3 linked regions of the Styela clava genome follow. The protein of the gene in region 2 interacts with the protein of the main gene of each other region in a pairwise test. Links are inferred from orthologs where the notes say so. Each region holds a gene or a part of one and is shown on either strand. Other genes may lie near its edges.

Region 1 (7,273 bases), on a different chromosome or scaffold from region 2:
GTACTTTTATATTCCCTGTTCGTTTATATAATTTATTAATTACAGATTTTTATTTTCGTTTTAAAACAAGTGTTTCCCAAAGGAATAACACTACGCATTTTACAGAATACTATTCTACAGATTATAAATTTGATAAAAACTTCATATGTTTTTTAATTTAAACAAAACTTGTCCCCCTGAATTGAACACTCATTGAAATCTATTGATTTGAAACACAATCCCATTTTTAAAATAATACAGACTGTTTACATGAGGACATATCACATAGTACAAACACCATGCTAAAATGAGCAAAGAATTCAATATATATACAAATATACAAGTGCAGAAAGTGTGTGATAAAAAATATTGATGAAAATATCACATTTTTATGATTTAGTTAACAGCCAATAAAAACCAATGAATGAGTTGTAGCTTGGGTGTCTAATGCATCTGATTATTTCCACATACAACAAATCAGCAATACAGTATGTATGTTCACTTCAGGTCAAATCATATTTCACAAGGTAATGCAAAAAATAACCTCGAATAATTTACAATTTTGTTCTAAGATTTTGAAAAACGTGACTCAATATTCTGGTTAAAATGAACAACCATTACAAATAGCATGACACCACATCAATAAAAAGTTTGATAAAATATTACAATTATAGACATAAAATTAAATCGCACATTTATTTTACAATGTATTAATTGATCCAAACACTTCCTGTGATGCATAAGTCATATACAAAAATCCATCTTCATCTTTTTCTACTGCGTAAACCTCAGAAATTGGTGATGAAACACTGACCATGCTCCTTTGGTTGACAAGCAAGAAAAATGCCTGGTTGGGACTCAGATGAAGTCTTCTCCTGAAAATAGATTAAAACAACCAAACTTTATAATACTTTCCTCCAATCATCCTACAGAATATATCGAAATATTCTAAAATCTATTCCTGCCACGATACTCACATAGTATGTGTCCCAGGTTAGGGTAAGGCCATAATTTTATTCCGATTTTCTTAATCTTAGTAGTATTACGAGTTCAGGGACTGTCTGTGTTAGCCAAGTCAATATACCCCCCGCCCATAGGCTTCCATCCCTTTACACAACTTGATGTGGAGTAGGCCACAAAGTCCAAGAATTCAAACAACCATTAGAATGGCATGGTGGATTTAAAAAAAATTTTAACACAAAAGATAAAATAATGCTACTATTTTTTATATGGACTAAAGAAAATGCAACTTTTAAAAAGAGAGAATCAATTTGTATTTAATCATCAGAAAAGATAAACCCTACAGATCTCCCAGATGTATTGTTCACTCTTTATCTAATTGGCGTGCAGATGTGTTTTTGATGTGTATGGCTCTTGTGACGATGTGAAATGACTATTATTCACACATCCCCACAAAGAAAAAGGTGAAAATAAAAACAAAAACACATTGTTATGAGGGCATTAACATTCCTGAGTAAATAAAAATTACTTTATTTAATGGTTCGGATGTATCATTAAATCGTCAAATTTTAAAAATGACGTTATTACTTCTTCGGGCAATTACAAAATTAGCCAAGCAAGTATTTTGATTAGTGAACAAATAGCTCACGGAGCCCCTATATTTCTCTCACGTGGTACTGGGGCCCCGTATGGACCACTACGAGAACCTATGATCTATAGTAGCCTACCTCTTAGGTATTACATATATTTTTTAAAGTTTATTTATAGAAATTTTATTTTGCACAATTAGCTCCTATCGGCCGGCTAAACTGGCTGTATATATTTTTGGTTTCTTCAAAGCTTTGTAAACTAATCTTCACTGACATCATAGCCAAGATAATAATTTGTTATCTGAGTAGAGTAATCTAAAATGGAAACAAATGGCTGAAAGAGTCATGCTTCTGAGTAATAAGCATCATACAGTGACTCGATAAAATATAAGCCATTGATTGCCTTCGTTTTACAGTAAAGTTCAAATTCCCACCGTATTATTCGCACCAATTCACACATCGAGACATGATCTGGCACAAGAAATTTGGTTTTATCAAGTATCGGCAAATTCTTTTCTCCATGATATTTCTCTATTATCACCTGTGAAAATATATATTTTAATTAAACAAGTTATATATGAAAATATTAGGTTTTCTTTGAAAATCTCAAATAGGCTTTTCTTTGCTGTGATATGGGTCCACAAAAACCATTGAAATCTATTTTGTTAAAAATTAACATACGGTAATTATGAATTGATAACTTTAACAACTGGAATTTGCGTGTAAAAAAAATTTGAAAATGATAACAATACTCACTGGAATTTTGTTGGGATGTTGTTCACGAATCTGTAGGACATCAGAAACTCTTTCATCTAAATTTGAAAACAGCATTTTAAATTACACAATAATCATCTAAGCTGGGAATCATTATCACTTTAAAACTCAAACCTCATTTCATGAAATTTGTGAAACATCGTGCTAATTTCACAGTAATTTTAATTATCTGAATTGTACAACATTTTGCAAAACTTCTTCAAATTTCAGTGCCATTCAAACTAAATATTTATGTCATAATAAGCCTCCACAAGTTTGAAGAATTGGCATGAAACATATTTTTATTTAGAAAAAAAGCTATCAATTAACGAACATTTTAACAAGATGATCGGTCGGAGACCGAAGACTTATCGATCGAAACTGCGGTTTCGATTCATGACTCTATAGTGACACCGCGTGTCCCACCACTAATTAATTGATAACTCGCTAATTACGCGACATAATTCATCCAAAATCAATAGGCTTCTGGTCCGAGATATGATGAATGCACATGCAAAATTTGGAGCAGATTCACGCCTTCGTGAGATATCGCGTGCATCTAACAGACAAACAAACAAATACCTATCAACATACTTACCGATCTAAAGATTGATAAGTAATAAACAACCAACATAATCCATCATTGGGTAATTTAAATAAAAAAATATAGATTTTATTAATTACTAAACCCACCAAATGCTCTGCGTTGCTTAAATGTTCGCTCGGTCATATTTCCTTGTAACTTTGTCAAACCAACCAGAATACTGTTATCTGGATGTAATCTTATTTAATATATAACTGAAATCTGTTAAATAAAATGTTTGAATAAATATCTGAAATCAGTTCAGAAATGCAAATCAACTCTCCTTAAAATAAGTGAACACCTCAATTAATATATAAAGTAACAAACTGTACTGCCATAGGTCTGTCAGTCTGTAGGTACCAGCGAGATAATCGGCTTAACTCAAATATCTATGTTCAGATATGCAACAGCTTGAATTTGTTACCTTCTACAATATCTATCATTGCCTTTTAAATATCATCACTTTTTATATTGCAACATAGCAATTTGTCGTGGTGAAATTGTATATAAATATCTAAACTACAGAACTACCTGCTGTAGTTTAATCGTTTCTAGAAGCCCTGTGTAAATGTGTATATGGTGCAATGGTTCATATAAACTTACTAACAGGCTAATTATGATAGTTTGTCGGACAAATGAGATCCCATAGCATACAGGCAGCCTACATAATTTCAACAAAACCAAAAAATTTATAGATAATTCATTTTGAAAACTCAGGGATACAAACAAATTTAAAATCATAAAATGAAGTTAATTATGGAGAGTGAGGAAAACCTTTGAAAAAGTTTAAAGCATGAGAAATATCATGCGTCTACTCATCAACACACACAACAGCACAAAGAGTTAAGTGAAAACACAAACCTAGGTCAATAGGTAAGATGGGATTTACATATTTAGGGGAGGAAAGATGGGATTTACATTTTTAGGAGGGAGAGGAAAGGTGGTAATACAGCTTATTTATATGACGAACCTCGGCCTCTCGTCTCGTCCGGTCCATGTCGGGTATGAGATTAGTTAGCCAGTTTTTTGTTCTTCAGATGCATGGGCTTGATGTTCAGATGGCGAAGGGAGGCGTAACCGACCAACGGTAACGTGAACCACACTACGGCGAGGAGGAGTTCAGTATTCCTCTTGCATATAATTTACCCCGCAAGGGATTCGAACCTGCGAACCCATGCAGAGAAATCACAGGCGCGGTAGTGATCGTATTCCTAACGCTTAGCATGATGCGCCACACCATCAAGCGATGGTCGAGGTAGATGAGACTTGAGTCAAAATTAAGTTTTGAGCCATTGGATTTTTAATTCTCTTTAAACTAAAATTACAGTAACCTATTCAATTTGATACAAAGCTAGGGTGAAAAAGTGCAGAAGTGAGAAAGAAGGATCAGAAAGTAGAAGGCACGATACACACAAGCTCAATTCAAAGATATGTTGGTACTGTAAATCTTCAAATTATATGCACGTAAACTCAAAAACACTGATTGGGGAAAACACTAATCAAAACTTTTATCATTCAAACCACCTATTTTTTATGATTCCGCAATGTGGATTAATCAATAATTAAAGAATAAATAAAATATTATATGACAGTAGGAATAACAATAACTACTGCAATAAGTATATACATGTTACTGTGTTAAAACACGAATACATTATCAGTAGAGTCAGAGAGTTGTTCCATACTTCCATTACTGCATTATACTGTTATATTCCATTTTTCAATATAATATTCCGTTGTTATAACTGTATAACCAGCATGTATTTTCCGCAATAATTGTCAGTCAGTACATTATTCAATAAGTAACATTAAATATTTATTAAGAAAAAACAAATTAAACTTCTATGAGTTTCAGTGTACAGCAGTATAATATCAGAATATTGAGTTCTTTTGTAAATTTAGGATTTTATCTATACTTTTCAATATTTCTTCTTGATTTCATCATCACATTGTTTACCCTTGGGTCAACATTTCAAAAAATGACTGAATTCCTCTCTACGGTCTCTAGCCAAATTTTATGTCTGGCAGTGCAATACCAGAATACAGCAATGACAGAATAGCATGAATAATACTGTAATAACTAATAAGACAATGGCATTACGTTCTAAGTTTGACAGATGTGAGTAACATTGATGATTCAAATCTAATAAAATACAAGTAGACTAATATAATTATTTTTCAATACACAATGATGGATTTTCCAAGCAATAGAAAAAACATAATCATAAACGTTGTATGTGAGGGACAATTCCAAACTAAATATGACGTAAACTTGGTTCTTGTGAGCAGAAAACCCATAAGTCATCCCCAAAAATGTGTCTAATTCTAGGTTTTACTTCAAGACTAAGAACATCCCACCTATTTTTTTTTTATTAATATATGTTAATACAAGAATACAATAAAGTTCTTCACATTACACATCCCACCTATTTTCAGCACAAGCTATAGAATCGACATTGCAGCAGCAGTCGAAATGGAAGCCATACATTCGCCCGTTCGCGGAGCAACAACAGTCTTCTTTGTTTACTTCTGCTAGTCCGTCATCTGATCAGATGATTAAAAAAATCATAATTCTTTAACGCCACCGCTGGTCAGTATTATTTATCTCAAAACTCGTTTTCCGATCTCCGTGCCAGAGTATCGGAAAAGTAGAAAGACATAAAAATTTGACTCATGAACCCCCAAATGCTGAACCCACAGAGAACAAGTCGAATCGATATTGTGTAAAAGTCGCAGAGCTACTTTTCGTTTTCCAGACGGCTTCACAATGATCAAATGAAGCCTAGATGAAGAAATTTGAAATCAGATGTTTTCCCCGTGTTAATTTCGAAGTGATCATGTGAAATAACAACTTTAACTCCTACATCCTTTTCTGAACTCAAGGTCTATAAATGGAAAAAATCCTCGCTCAGTCGCGCCCTTGATAACCAATATAGCCGTGAGACGAGGCCGTTTATCTTCCAGTTTCGTAGCGCACATAAGTGAACTATCAGAAAATGATTTTAAAATGGTGCTTGAAAAATTGCACGTTTTGCGAAAAAGACGCTTTTACTACAAAAAATATCTGTCCTATAATCTCTGCTTTTCGGCAACATTTGTCAATGAACGCAGACTTCTGCATGGCGTAACAATAAAATTTTACCAGGTGTAGGTGGATTCCCGAGGTCGAATGAATCTCAGTTTGTACTGCCCGCTCTTGCGTTGAGGTAGGTAGCTCTTTCATCGTCTTTTTTTAGTTATTATTAGTAAAGTTATGATGAGACTGTGCAAAAATTTTACGTAAGCTATTAAACACTTCTAGATCCTTACCGTGGATTGCAATTTTAATTGAGCATTAGCTCCCAAAACGTTTATTAGGTACGGTAAGGTAACTTCAAGGAAGGCTGGACCCAAAAAGATATAACGTTACCCCGAACAACGTATGCTAGTAATAGTATGAAAGGTTTATGATTAATTTAATGACAATTTTTAAGTTTTCAGCAGACTTATACTACCATATACACTACAGCATATTTGATTCAGAAAATGTTTGCGATAAAGGGGGGGGGGGGGTAACGAATTTTACAGAGACAGGATACATGTTCAAGACCTTACTGGCCTAAGACACAGAACAGATGTGCGACATGTACCCCTAACAATTATAACTGCAGTTTAGGACTGCTGCGTTATACTAGAACTAGGACAACAGACATGAAATTGATTATACAAATAAAACTCTAGTAAAATACACAAGAAAAAGAGGTACGGCACAACGGCGATATGTACAATAGTCAGTTTATGGCACGTCCATATCCCAGGTTCCGGTGTGAAAAGATGGAGATAGGGTATGGGTCGCTGAATTGATATGTTTTTACACTAAGTCTCACGAAACAGGTAAAGATTTGTTCGGGATATAAAATTGCCAGAAACCAACGTTGGATGGGGCCACGACACGAGAAAATTTTAAAAAAGCTTAATGTAGAAAACCTTTGGTAAACCTGAGTTTCATAGTTTGCACTGGACCAAACATATGGGAACAATAGAGAGTCTGGCATAAAATGCGGCCATTTTCAGCGCTATTGTGTAAAATTTATTGCCGCCATGTCCCAGCATGATAATTATGAATTTTTAATGAATGACCTAGTTTGCATAATTGACGATACAGCGAAGGAAGTAAGTGAACAATAAAACTATGCAAGATAGAGAGACAATAGATCCGTGGGGTCTCGAAACTTGTTTTCCGATCAATGGAGGTTTGTTTCATGATGACATTGTTAATCGATTGGGGGTATGTTTCATCGCTGTAGTTCTTTTCTGCTATGTACCCTTTGTATCTGAAAAGTAATGTCGGAAAAGTAGGATGTCCTTAACTCACTAAATCTAATAGAATTCCGATAAATGTCTCTTAAGCTTGGATCTAAATTCGGAC
Region 2 (7,478 bases):
TAGGAGGTAAAGCCATCACCTATCTGTCGTATATTATAACAGTGAAATTTACATCGATCATAACATAAGATATATTTGTAAGGATTTAATAAAATGAAATAAATTTGAACACTAACATGACAAAGAAAAACTTGAAAACAAATTATGTAAAATACAATTTCAATATCAACCAGTTTCCCTGGAGTATTTAATAACATCAATTTATTAAGAATATAGAAAATGACATTACTCATTACCTTAAAAATAAGTTTAGAGACATATTTAAAGAAGTTGTATTGTACTGGAAACAATGAACAATTCCCTTTAGCAGCATGTTTTGTTTCATTTTTGTTTACATGTTTTTTCACATCATCAAAGAATATAGGTCTGATATTTAATGTCATGGGTCACCAAAACATGCCATAAAAAATATTGTAAAATTCATTAGAATTATTTCAACACATTAATAGGTTGGATCAGGGTTTCCCAAACTTTTTGGGTCGCGGACCCTGTTTGTGAATCTAATTTTTGACGGACCGCCATCATATTCCATATCAATTTCTGTGCCTAACCAACAAGGGGGGATATCGTTTCATTTACAACACAAACGTCATTAATGTAATAGATGAAGTTGCATACAAAATCAGCATGCTGTTTTTCACTGCACAATTTATCAATTCTCAGGGCAATTTGTTACAAGCAAACTAGGTCTGACTCTACAGTAAGTCTCGAGCTGCATTTTGTCATTAACTGTTAAGAGCCGAAATTGCTGCCTCACACATGTAGGTCGTTGCAGAAGGCAATATAATTTTAATTTTTGACAGCAATGGATATTTGTCACATCGCTCAAACAAAAAGACGCGAAGGCTTTTTGACTGAAATCAATCATTAAAGATTGATCACACTCTTTTCATATCATTGCATTGCACCCCCTGTGCAGTTATCATGGACTCCCAGGGGTCCGTGGACCCCAGTTTGGGAAGCCCTGGGTTAGATGAAAAAAATCATAAGGCATCATAAACAATTCATGAATATACACATAGGCATGTATAAAGTTGTAAAGAAAAGCACACCATTTTAAGTAAACTTGAAAAATTAAGACCTGCTACATAATATAATTCTACATCTGAGATATTTCCGACCGGGTAAACCGAATAGTTTACACCAGGGGTGGGCATTTAAGACCGTACTGCAAAGTTTATATGCAATCAGTCCATATTTAAATGTGAAATGGTGGAAAATAGAATCATAAAGAAACAGTCTCAATTTATCAGGCCGCGATATCATGGCTAATTATTTTATACTCTAAGAGGATTGTCGAGTTGCACAAGAAAGTAGAGTATTTCTCAATTAACAAAAGCGTATCTAAAATGTGCTCAGGGAACACAAATTTAAATTTAGTAAAATGTACTTTTTGGTCAGAATATCATGAAAAAGTCCAATCGTTCAGAATAAAAATAATTACATATGAAATTTGTAAAGTCTCTTTTCATAAAATCTCTAGAATCTCAAATTCCTCATCAACATCATCCAAATCTTCATCAGAATCGAGGGTTAAACATGCATTTTCATCCTCCGTCATATCTCCAGTTCTTTTTTTAAAAAGGTTATGAGCCGACACAGAAACCACTTTTGATTCTACTACAGTACATGTTGGAAATGATTCAACAACACCAAATAATGGTAAGCTTTCTTTAGATGACTTCTGTGTTTTTACTCTCTCACATATTCCTTCAAATTCTTTCTTAGTTTTGCATAGAAATCCTAACGCTAAAGAAGGATCAAGGTGGGACATTGGCATTTTACTAGGATACTCGCAATGATAAGAATTGTCATGTTCTATTTCAACTATTTTATCATCCCATACAGCAGCTGGTTGGGTAGTATGTGGGTCAAGGAAGACCATGTAATCAGTGTTTGTATGTCCAATAAAATAATATGCATGATTGGGCTTTCCACCAATTATTCCAACACTTTCTTTCCAAGTTAAACATTCCTTGATATTTTCAAAATATACTGGATTTATCTCTGATAGTCCAAGTCGTAGTGGAATAAATAAAACTAAAGGTTTCCATATTTTGGCTGTATTTGTACGACACGATGATGAAGGTTGATCTTCCTGTTCATTAGAGATAGAGAACGAAGTTGCACTGTTTTCAACTGAAGAGTTCAGACATAATTTTTCCACATCTTTCGTGCATATTGTGTTGTCCATCGCAACATAAACAGTGATGTCATTTTTGTTATCAAATGCAGACAATTTTTTTAGGACCTGAGCAATCGTGTTCGGGCCAAACCATTGACCGACTTCTTTTCCTTCTTGCACTCCCATTTGTGCAATTTGATGTATTGAGTAACAACTTGTTCGTTCATCTGCAAAATCTTTCAATACTTCATAATATTTAGACGACTGAAGTTCGTTTGGTCGCCACTTCCATTGTGGAGACATTTTTAACCTAAGCAAAGTTTGAGCCAGCATCATTTGGCCGCAGCGCAACATACATCCCCAACCTGAATCACTGGTTGGTCCTGTCCCACCAATCGAATCAAATCCTTTTCGATATGTAAACCATAGTTTGGATTTTGCTGCCTCGCAAAACTGTTCTCTATCATTTGGCAGGACATATTTTTTCCCCATTAACCAAATAATTTCATTGTCTGTCCACGAATCTTCTTTTGACAAAACATTTTCATATGTTAAGCAAGAAAAATTGGAGTCGCCTTCCATGTCTAGATATGCAATTACATATAGTATGCAGGTAAGGTATGCAACTACAGAACTAGGAATGAATGTAGATGTAAGTTAAGATGGAGGAGTACTAGGATTCTCCACAATTACCCTGAGGGGAAGAAAGTGGAATAGACGACCTAATTGGGTCAATGCCTACTGGCACACCTTATTCTCTCGCCGGGGCTGCATTTCAGATTACAGGATTACTGTAAGCAATTACCTTGTCTGCAATGAATAGATCAGTATGCTCCCGTTTACAGGTTTATGCAATCATTGAAACATCTAATCGCAGATTTATTACTCGTTTTTCGCAATGATTAATTGAAGAAAACACATAAGGAAAAACATTAAACAAAGACTCTGATAATCTTCCATAATAATTTCGAAGTGATCAGGACTGTTAAATAACAATCTTAATTCTTATATCCTTTTTTGAAGTTAAGTGACTGAACTACAGAACTAGGTGCGCTATGATAGTTTATTTCAACTCTAGCTCCTACAAGTGCGATTACTTCAGAGACGAGCAAAATAAATCAACGTTTTTTTTAAATATCCCAGTGCCAATAAAGAATATAATAATTTTGTATTTTTTGTCCATATAACAGTGTATTAGATAGTTTTGGATGCCAATTCTAATTTAGGTTAATATTGAGTTCGGAATACAATTGCATTATTTGAATTCCGTTTAGGTGGAGAAAAATAAGTATACAATACCCATACAAAAATTACAAAATATTTCACACATTCAATATCAGCAATTCATTGTAGTTCCAATAGAGTCGATCGTTGTCCCAAATGTCATCATGGTGAAGATTATAGGATATGTTTTATATTAGCATGGAAAAACAAAATTTATAAAGATTAGCCAGCTAATTTGAATGGGGTACCTATTAGGGTTAGTTCGGATACCTATAATTTTTATTATCCGCATAACGGATATAACCGGGTATTCTGTATTTTAAATATCCGGTTAACCAGATAGTTGCTGCCGATTTCGCACGATTTTAGCGGCGAATTGACCAAAAACCACCACACAGTTCTATTGTAAATACTCACATATGTATTATTTTCCTTGAATAAGAATGATTGTGCATTTTAATATTGAATGTGTCAATAAATGATAATTTAAGTTATGTAATCGTACCGATGTACAGCGGAATAATAAAATGAAACATGTTTTGAAAATATTGTGTCCTAATTATTTTTTCCCCGACTGCTAAGTTATTTTCTCCTATTCAAATAATATGTAAAGATTTATATTATTTCTAATTTATTGTTAATTTTTTTAAAAGCTTCTTTTGTGTCTAGAGCCTCTTTTCATTAAATTTTGACTCGTACTAAATTTTAGTGTCGCAGACTCACAATGATCATTTCTGATCATCCGCACCTTCCTATCAATTGCAATGAAATTTAATATTGTCATGTATAGTATTTTGTGTTCTATAATATTTTGTGATTTCTTGCACGACGAAATAAACTTTGTTAATATATACCACAAGAGCATACATATAAATGAAAACACGATCACAAAAAATCGTGCATTTCGAACATTTGATTTCGTTGAGAGAAGTATCCAAAAAAAAATAGAATATAGGGGGGACCACTTCCGTGAAGTGTATAAAAAATATAAGTAATCTGAACAAAAATTTTAATAACAAAGCAAATTGATGGTTTTGAAAATACCAAAGTGGTCAGGAATTTCTTCTAATTTGAAAACTTCACTTATTTAACATGTCACTGTAAATATTCTCACGTTTGTACTAATTAGGCCACAACTTCAAATCTATTTCCATTCGAATATCTTTTAAACTAAATTAACAGAGCCAAAACAATGCTGCGCCAGTTTTTGAACAACTTTACTTACCACCCTCAATGAGTAAATGAAAAACATGACACGATACAAAGTCTGTCAGATTAAACTTTGCTGAAATATTATAGACCATTTTACAAACAAACTTGTTTGGGAAAGTTCCATGAAAACCATAAATGTAATAACAGCCCTTCCTCCTCTTTTTAAAATTTTTGAAAACGTCACTAAGGCGGTCGAATTTTACTGGCTAATTTTGTCATCATCGCCGATCGTTTTCTTTATTTGGGGAGTTAATATCGGCATTATGCCAGTTTTAATTTGAAAAGAAGTTACATTCCGTGACAAGTTACCCTTGTTGTAAATTCAGTAAATACGATTATTACGAAATTTTGGCGATTCAACAGCGCCTAAAACAGAGTTTTTTTTATCTATCACTGGCTCATAAATCAAGAGTCGTGATATTTTCCTTAGCATTTACTTCCTTATTTTCAGTCAAAAATGTGTGCTTCAGATCTACTCTCTTAACGATAGATAGATACGACGATAGATAACATACTGCGCCATTTCAATTCCAGGCGAAATAATACAATTATCCGCGTTATATACCGATGAGACTGAACCCGACTTTTCTCCCGAAAAGCTAATTAATCTGCATTTATTGTACTAAATAAATTATGCTCATTGGAATTGCAATAATAACTCAAATTTGATGAATTTGCAAAATCGCAAAAATACGAAATTGGATTTATTTGTGCAGCTTACCACTTATTTTCATATCTAGAGTAGAAATGCTTTTATTTTAACGTAAGTCGGGCTCTTCTATAACGCAAATACGCAATAATCACATTTTTCTGCATGTTTTGTGATGTAATAGTCAAGTTCACTCCAGCATTACACGGATGACTAAAATATAGGCAGAGTAGTGTGGATATTAGTGATTATTATATGCTCTGAGAGATGTCAGTGGCCACTCAACAAAAAATATAAAAATCACTAATGCGCATATGCATTATTTATACTGCTCTATTATCCGGTTAATCGTTACAATAATATCCGGATATCAGATAGCAAAATACCTCTTGGTTAACCGGTTATCAGATAGCAAAATACCTCTTGGTTAACCGGTTAACCGCTACTCGGATAATCCAACCCTAGTACCTATCATGACAAGAGGATTTTACTATTTCCTGTCTACTGGTCTATGTAAAAGGTTTTATTCATATCTAATCAGTAATCAGTAATCAGTAATTTATTTTATCACCAAGAAATACACACTGTACATACAGAACGAGATAAGAAAAGAGAGGAAAATAATGCATTTCAGGGTGAAAGGGGACGCGATAAACCAGCATTGGTTATCGAGCAACGACACCTATGAATAGTCTAACATTGGGTTATACAAGAACAAAAATCGAACTAAATACAGTACTAAAGTGAGGAGTCGGACGCTAAAATACTAACATTGGCAGAAATATGTTCAAAAAGACCGGATATTTCCGGACTCACTAAGCAAACGACTCCGAACGCCGACTGGCAGATAACCATGACAACTACGGCACAAATACGGTAACGTCTAAGTGACTGGAGCACCATATTGCAAGCTGAGTTGGACGGTACCGGCACTGTGCTGATGCATGGTTCATAAAGGCTGGGGACGAATTTGTACACGAGGATAATATGAAGAGAGAAAAAAGAATAAAATGTATCTACAGGTTTGGGCAACAGATTAAGAGATCACTAAACCAGGTAATTGCATTGAGTTACATTACTTACAAATAGTCATTTTGTGTGGCATAAATATAACTAATTTCAGAATTTTAAATCACAACGGTTCTGAAGTGCGATCGAATAGGTCATGTAGAATATAGAAATCATTGAATTAAAAAAATGTATATACACAACAGTTCAATAGGACGGTTCATGCAGAATTTATGTCAATAAATTACATAAATTTAAAGTCACAGCAGTACAATAGCCTACTATGATAAGGCAATTCATGCAGAATATATAAGTCACTCAATTATAAAAATGAAAAATTCACCGAATTACAAACATATAAAATAAATATACTAATAGTATGGGTCAGTCGGACAGCTGTAGTAGCTGATCAACATAATCCTATTTTGGCCTAGACTGTGCTGTCAAATCTACTGGAACCAGAATCCTGGCATATGCTGCCTCTAATTTTAGAGACATTTTGTTTTTTGAAAAAGCGTAAATGTACCTCCACATATATCTGTGAGGGCATAAGTGAGTCAGTATATTAACAATATATATCAATAAAAGTATTTTAAGTAGATATCCGAAAAATTTGCCAAATAAACATTGATAATTCCGTTTATTAAGAATAGTAAAATGTTTATTACAGGTTACTTGGACTCGAGGACTGTGGATCAAGTCGAGTAAACTCATTGTATGATCAAGTAATCCTGGAGAATTCACTTTGCAAATTCAACTGGACCGGTAGGTGGAAATCATGAGTTTTTTATACTCTATTTTGAAAGCGGCATAAGACGAATCACGTAGGGTTTGGGGTAGGTTATTCCAAATTCGCACACCTATGAATTTGAGGGACTTTTGGGATTTGGCAAGTGAGAAGCGAGGAACAAAGTAGTTACGCCTTGTTGAAGAACGAGTGTTATGTTCATGCACTGAACTTAGCGTGACAAAATAATTGTCAAAAGCTGCTGGTAATTGATTGTTTTGAAATTGATGCATAATTTTTGAGATTTCTAGTTTATAGATGTCAGTCAATTTAAGCACTCTAGTTTTATGGTATGAATAATTTAAATTCGAACGATATGGTGCTCTAGCGAGGATTCTAACGGCTCTATTCTGTAAAACCTCTAATCTATGCATGTTGGACTGAGTTGTAGAGCCCCAAGCAGCTATGGCATATTGTATATGAGATTGAAAAAGTGCAAAGTAAACGGTTCTCAAGGTGGAATTTTGTAAATA
Region 3 (7,538 bases), on a different chromosome or scaffold from region 2:
CCTTTTTAACACTTATTGTTATAGTATAGCAACACGTTTTATGACAATTTTTACTTTACAGTTTGCATATTCAAATCAATAAATTTGAACTATTATTCTTGTAGTATTCTTGCTAAGTTCCGCTGATGTGTAATGATGTATACAAGAACGAAAAGATTTTCAAAGCTGATACTGTTTGGTGTTTGCTTATCTATTTTGATAAAAAATATTTTTAATTATAGAATATTAAATATTCCTTATCTGGAAAGGTGGATAAAAAATTTGAACAAACAATTAGAATGTATTTCATAATGCAGAAAATACAAAAAAAACATGCTTTCATGTAAATTTTTAATTTTCTGCAGTACTCTACAAAGTTTCCAAAATAACAATTTTCTGAACGAAAATTAAAAATATTAAAAGATCTGATTTACATCGAAAATTTTAGAATGCTGTAACATAGTATATAGTTATATATCAGTGTTTCCCAACCTATTCGTTGCCACCCAAAACTTGGTTTCTTCAACAAAAAACAAAAAGTTAATAATTTCATTTTTGGGTAAATTTTATTGTTTATTTTGTATCTGGTATTGAAGTGTTGCTTAAATGCATGAGAAGTATCACAGCGTGAAAAATATGCAGCATTCATTTTGTTTTGCTCAAGGCTGGCTGCACACAGACACAGCATCAGTAATATTCGACAAAAAATATTTTTATATAATATATTTATCACTAACACAACAAAAAATATTGCTTCGATAGCGCACACTGACCGTTTCTGTTTTTCAATATTTCTCCGCGCGCCACTTCAATATGTAAGGCAAAATTTCTGTCTTGCAATAACCAACAAGATATTAATTTTATTTTCAAGTAAATTTTATTGTTTATTTTATATTACCGGTGGGTATTAAAGTATTGCTCAATAGCAATTGTATACGTGAAGCATTTATGTGTTTTGCTTCAGAAAACTACGCCACGATTTCAAAACCTCGCTGAGGGCAAACTAGCGCATCTTTCTCACTTTATTTTATATCAGTTCTTCAATTTTCCGGCCATAAAAGTACTACATGACGTTTAGTATTTGAGCATAACCTTGGGTTGCCAGATTTTACAAATTTAATTTTTTCAAAAATTTGGGTCGCTAGAAAAAACGGTTGGGAACCACTGGTGTATATAACATAGACGAGTACATGGAAGTTTGTACAATTTGTTTGAATATCACAAAGCTAAGTAGTGATTGTATACGCTGCACAATCATCTACAGCTGTCCGTGAGCCGGTATGTTGTGATTGTCACATCACAATCCATCGATACAATGAGACATACTTTTGACACCAAATTGATCTTTAGTTCAAACTATGTTCAAGCATGGGCCGTTTATAAACAAGATATGAACAAACATTTGACCATCAATAATTTACTTGAGTATGATTCAGTGATGTATATGTGATTATTCATAATTATTGAAGCATGACTCAGATCCATGTCATGTGACTTAGTCTTATGATGGTTTGTGAATAGTATAACAAAGATCACGTAAATCGGCGCTCCAGAATATGGAGGTAACTAATTTTGTTTGCCTACATTACATCAAGTTGTATAAAGTGACTAAAATCTACGGGAAGGGGGTATATTCACTTGGCTAACACAGGCAGTCTCCAAACTTGTAATAGAACTAAAGTAAGGAAAATCAGAATAAAATTATGGCCTAACCATAAACTGGTACACACACTACGGGAATACTCCCTGCTACCATTAATAAGAATATTTAGTAAATACTCAAAATAAAGTGCATTTTAAATTATTAAATTCTTCCATATCGAATCATGGAAGGGTAGGCGATACAAGGTTCAATAAAAATTAAGTTGGGTGGAAGCTGTGATATCTTATTTCAGTTTCATTATGATCTGATCAATATATATATAATTATTGATAATCTAAATTAATCGATTTGGTCTCAGCGTGTGATCTAATTACATCAATCTTAATAGGATGAGACCTACTCTGTGTGTTTATAGAAGGATTAACTTTACTTGTACACAAACTGGCTTTTATGTTCAATATTGTATATACAGGGTGTCCAAGTCCCTTTACAATTCCAATACTGTTATGAAGTCAGTTCTCAATATATCTTAACCAATCATAACAAGGTTTGTTGTTTTTTTAATCAGTAATTGTTTATTTACTTCATTTGTATTTTTAATTCATCTAATACATTTGTGAGTGCCAAGACAATAAGACATCGATAAATTCCCTTTGCAATTTTAAAATTTTTTTCGAGACTTCATGGTCACTAGTTGTATTTGGACTAGCACATGGTCTGTAAAATTTTATTTGAAGAGCAGGTGGCCATGAAATGGTCAGAGTCTTTGAAAGGGGGTTACGGAAAGTTCAAGAACCACTGCGCTAGTAAAAGCACATAAAGTAAAAGCTTTGGTTCATAACAACATTGGACAATCTTGAAATAAATCTACCTGTTAAATCTGATGGAACAAGATATTTCTTTTTATCCAAATCTCCAATCTTTGATTTTTCTGCCTTTTCTACAATTACCTGGTAAAAATATAAGAAATTTTGTCACAAAGTATATTTGTAAACTTACTTATCATAGCTCAACTTAATCTGCTACTTAAAACAAGATAAAACCTATAACATCATATTACAGTATTATATAGTAATCTTAGGGGGGCAAATAACAATATTATTCTCCAGTATTGCTTGAAGCACACAAGTGGAACCCATTGCCAGAGAGAGGATTTATCAGAGTCCAGCTGTTAATTGTTTGTTAAACTATAAATCAATATAATATTTAACAAATAATAATATACGAATCTGTCACACACCATTAAGTGGAACAAAACCTGGGAATAAAAAGTTATTTATTTTAAACCATGAATAAAACTCACAGGAACTCTATCAGGATACTTCTTTCTTATTTTTTCCCCTTCACTTCGTCTCTTCTCAAAATTGTGTTCTTCTTTGTAAACCCACTTCATCTTGAAATAACTTTGATGATAACGCTCAAACAAACAACGCAGTGAATTACTGCAACGAGTTATAATTAGCTTCCTATATAGATATCTGAAGTAGAAATTAACAGCTTAGAACATGGGTTGGCAAATTATAGCTCGCGGGCCAGATCCGAACCATCGAAGTGTTTTAACGGACCTATTTGTAATTGCTAAAATTACGACTATAGTTTTTTATGAATATAAATTTCTGTTGGTAATATCGAAAAAAACAACGTCATAATGACCACGATTGTTACTTTTGCTACTTATTATTGAATAAACGTTAGCCTAGCTGTTGGACTAGCTTTTGTAAATGAAATGTTTTTTTTTTTTTTTTTTGAGCCTACGGCCCAGTAACCAAGTCTACTGTAACCTGTAATAAGGTAATTATCCACCTCTGGCTTGGAATAAAGAACTCTAGTCACGTAAAAGAGGCTATTCATATATAGATTGCATTGATACAAGTTTATTAAAATCAGGCATGGACAAGTGCATGCACATTCCCCAGAAGTTCAATGTAACACAGTACTGCAGTAACACATTTCTCGAACTATTTGAAAATAACCAGCAAATGCTAATGATTTATGTTATAGAAAGGAAACCTAGAAATGATGACTGGTGTTATTAAGCTCCGTTCTATATTCAAAAATGGAAGGACTAAATATAAAGCAAATGATAAGAACATTTTATTTCAAGTGCCTTCAACAAAAGCTAATAAATTAAAAGTTTAACAACCAAGCAATAGGAGATGCTTTCCAAACATGAAAAATATTTTTGGATAGCGTAATCAGATGGGGGTTAGGATTGGGATATCGAAAAATTGTTATGCTTCGCTTACTAGAAGTATGTTAGGTACGAAACTACACCAGACCCGATTTAACGAAGTATATACAGATATAGTATACAGGCTTTGAACTATTCCACAGTCAGGGCCGTCGTAGCTTCATGAAATATATACAGATATAAATGTACATGCTATCCTAAGCCAAATCGAAATGTTAAGGCAACCAGCATAGCAAGGTGTGCTATTGAGCAATCAAGCATCTTTGAGTAAGATTTAAAACGTAAGACGTGGTACATGCTCGTTCACAAATCAGCAAGTTGAATAAAATTAGAACAGAGAAAAGCTAAACATAAGAATATAAGATATATACCTTAGTAAATAGAAAATATACAAACAAAATAAAAAAATAAATTTTGTCAAACCATATTAATAATTTTGTAACTGTAATCAGTCAACCACAGTATACTCAACAATAAAATACCTGGTAGACAAATTGCATATTTCTGTTATTGAAAAATTGCAAGAAGTCACAAACAGACAAAGTCACCAACCATCCATTTACAGAATTAATTACAGCTGTACCAATACAGCCCATAATGTAAAAGTCCAAAATTAATTCGGAACAGCAATAATCAGAACAATATCACGCCCTTATAGTCCGACAATATTTATCTGTTTACATTTGTTTCTTTGTCCCCTTCAATCAATCAATTTATTTTGGTCACTCTAAAAGAAACAAAACAACAACAAACAGAATGCAGAGGACCTGGAGGACGGGCATAACTTAATAAAAAAAAGTTAAAAGCATACAAGTACGTGCCCGTCCACCAAAATCAGTCAAAAGAACACAAAATATCTATCTTAAATAAATAAAGACACGATGTAAAATCGTGCAATGCCCCTTCACCGTATCCGCCTATAATATCACTGACCTTTTGGGCGAAGGATGGGGAACGAAAAGTGAAGTTAAACAGACAAATTCAGGATATGCAGATTCAGTAATTTCAGAATTTGGAGCATTTAGACTACATTACTATAAAGTATTTTACAACTGTCCCAATTTGCGACACAATCTTCTTTTTTTTTTTTTTTTTGTGCCAAATAAATTCCAATGCCAAACGGAATTTTCGTATTAATATTTTGGTATCAAATCATTTTATTATAAATATATAAATAGATATTTTTTTGTTTCCATGTTTTTGTTTATCATTTTTTAATTTAATCCCATTCCCCCCAATACATATGAATAGTAAAAATCAAAATAAAGACAAAATTCATACCATTACCATTGCTTTAGAAACAACCCTTCTGCGATGTCGACTTTGTATAATGGCAACTAGTTCCTCAAATGCTGACCAACAAATATTTTTAACGCTCGTCACAAAATTTATACTATATTTTAATCATAGGTTATCAATAAATTTATATTCAACAAGTTTAAGTGCTATTTTAACATTTCAAACCCCAAAATACCGTCAAATAGCAATAAGTAAGCTTTGTAAATAGTGTCGATGCGGATGAATACTAGCAGTCAGGAGAGTAATCATATGATTTCATTTGTTTATATCGATTCGGTTCATTGCATCACCAGGGACTTCCTTGGTGTTCCCTTTGATCGCGTCCTGTCTGACTTAAAATGAAATTGCACCACAATCAGTAATGGAAATATGACATTTGTATCATCACTGCTGTCAGTAATTCTGTAACGCTATGATGCCATGGGAAACAATAAGCAATGTTTTCTATGTCGGCCCCGTTTGAAATGTTATATATTCAGATATTTTATTTCTATCGTGCAAGAATCACCACAAAAATTAAAGCACGTAAAACTGTCAAAAGTATATAAACAATCATGAAAAAATGTAATTATACACAAAGGAAATTAAAGTAATTCGATTTGAACTTCGCTGTGAGACAAAAATGGCGACACACGAGACAGACATACGGGGGATTCGGGGAAGTTTCTGAAACTTCAAATTTGGTTTTTAAAAAACGAAAAAGTAAAAGCACTACATGGTCAATCTCACCATGTAACATAGGATGAAAGCAACGACTGGATGAAAGTGAAGAAAACGGGACCATTTCTCTAACTCAACCTGGGGTTTGTGAGCGTTGTGTTAACCAAATGCCAAACCACCGTTGTGGTTCTTGAGTTTTTCAACACTAAAACACGTGTAGAATTGTGCTTTTTTAGGAGTAATCATTTATCTGTTGTTTTTGTCGTTTCTTTGCGATTCGCTTCCTTATATTAATCATAGTGTCACGCATCATAGTGTTTTGAGGGACAAGTAGATGTGATGAACTGAATGAAGATCAACGACTAGAATATGGAGATATCAGTTAAAATGACAATGGAGAGTTTTATTTCTGTGTGGACAACTTCATAAAAATAATGGTTTATCATTCCGCCAAACGCAATTTATGTTGACTAAAATATTTCACGGACTGCTTTTATAATGTACCGGTAAATATGCTGCGACCCTTGTTGGGGAAATTCAATTTTGCACAGAATCATGTTCACATTAGTCGGAACATTTTCTATTAGGATTTACATATTTATCCCGGGGGAGAGGCGAACCACGGCCTCTCGTCCGGTTACGTCGGATATGGGATTAGTTATATTGTTTGTTTTCGGAAGCATGAACTTGGTGGTGGAGGAAGCCGTAACCGACCAGCGTTTACGTGAATCACCCAACGACGGCGAGGAGTCTAGCGATTCTCTCGCGCATAATCATCCCTGCATGGGATTCGGACCTGCGAACCCACGCAGAGTAATTAGAGGTGCGGTGGCGAGCGTATTCCTAACGCTTAGCCCGTTGAGCCACACCGCCGCGCCTATTAGCGCCAATCAAACAATTACTTCAGTTGTCATTGGGCTGTGAACGTTTCGAATTCAGCCGGTTCTGTTACAAAAAGTCATTGACAGGAACCAGTAATGCTAATCGGTTCGCTGATCTCATAAAATTCCGTGAGACGGTTCTATAGAACCGATGCTAACCGGCTGAATCCCACCACTGCCTAAATCCCATACAAAACTTTTGAAATCCCAAATATAACGCTACTCGTCAGCTGATAGATAGATAGATATTTTTTTTCGATGACTCCACAATATGATAATACAAGTAAAATTAAAAATGGAGAATTCTGGAGAGCGAGCGAAACCTTTAAAAAAGTTTAAAACACGATGAGTATCATGTGCCCGCCCACCAACACGCATTCACAACAAAAAACACAAATCTTGATAAACAAGGCTTGGGCCAAAAATAAACACACACAAAAATACGCGTATGTAATAAACTTTCGGGGTGTTGTATACTTTTAAAATACTCAAGCCAATAAGGACTAATTCGATCTGATACAAAGACAACGTGTGTAGGTATAATGTGATAAGGTGGCGAGAAGGGTCAAAAAACCATGAAAACTACATTGATTTGGCATTGGTGAAAATGTGGTACAGTGAATCCAGAAACATACAAAAAAAAATCAAAACAATGCTGGTAAATTCTACGCTCAGGCAATTATGAAAACAATCTGATCTGACTAATCACTCGTAAATATGTAGGCTCATGTAATCAATGAAGCCAATGTTCTTAAAAACAGTAAACGCACAAAACAAAAACAATAATACGCCATAAAATGAATATGTAACAACATTATGAATTGGTATGATTATATCGGATCGTTCGAATGCTCATTTAGCCTGTTATCAAAGTCATTGTGGAGAAAATTAGTACACATGTGATTATGAAGAGTATTCTGATTCT

Evidence for each region.
Region 1: the proteins of cysteine protease ATG4B-like (region 2) and microtubule-associated protein 1 light chain 3 beta-like interact in binary tests that used the Caenorhabditis elegans proteins (3 or more experiments, as listed by UniProt). The link is inferred for Styela clava from reciprocal best matches to the Caenorhabditis elegans genes atg-4.1 and lgg-2.
Region 3: the proteins of cysteine protease ATG4B-like (region 2) and gamma-aminobutyric acid receptor-associated protein interact in binary tests that used the Caenorhabditis elegans proteins (3 or more experiments, as listed by UniProt). The link is inferred for Styela clava from reciprocal best matches to the Caenorhabditis elegans genes atg-4.1 and lgg-1.

The regions. Positions count from the first base shown.
Region 1 is NC_135263.1:18,745,323-18,752,595, forward strand, and holds the start of microtubule-associated protein 1 light chain 3 beta-like, read right to left. Parts: upstream 3,093-7,273; 5' UTR 3,013-3,092; coding exon 2,976-3,012; intron 2,342-2,975; coding exon 2,286-2,341; intron 2,071-2,285; coding exon 1,964-2,070; intron 855-1,963; coding exon 680-854; 3' UTR 1-679. UniProt on the Caenorhabditis elegans protein: Ubiquitin-like modifier involved in the formation of autophagosomal vacuoles (autophagosomes). When lipidated mediates tethering between adjacent membranes and stimulates membrane fusion. Less effective at promoting membrane fusion than lgg-1.
Region 2 is NC_135251.1:22,062,066-22,069,543, forward strand, and holds cysteine protease ATG4B-like, read right to left. Parts: upstream 3,050-7,478; 5' UTR 2,708-3,049; coding exon 1,469-2,707; 3' UTR 547-1,468; intron 501-546; 3' UTR 23-500; downstream 1-22. Other genes in the region: queuosine 5'-phosphate N-glycosylase/hydrolase-like, read right to left, coding at 1-16. UniProt on the Caenorhabditis elegans protein: Cysteine protease required for autophagy. Cleaves the C-terminal amino acid of ATG8 family proteins lgg-1, to reveal a C-terminal glycine.
Region 3 is NC_135256.1:5,678,903-5,686,440, forward strand, and holds the start of gamma-aminobutyric acid receptor-associated protein, read right to left. Parts: upstream 3,063-7,538; 5' UTR 2,976-3,062; coding exon 2,886-2,975; intron 2,533-2,885; coding exon 2,454-2,532; intron 1-2,453. UniProt on the Caenorhabditis elegans protein: Ubiquitin-like modifier involved in the formation of autophagosomal vacuoles (autophagosomes). When lipidated mediates tethering between adjacent membranes and stimulates membrane fusion during autophagy. Recruits lipidated-lgg-2 to maturing autophagosomes.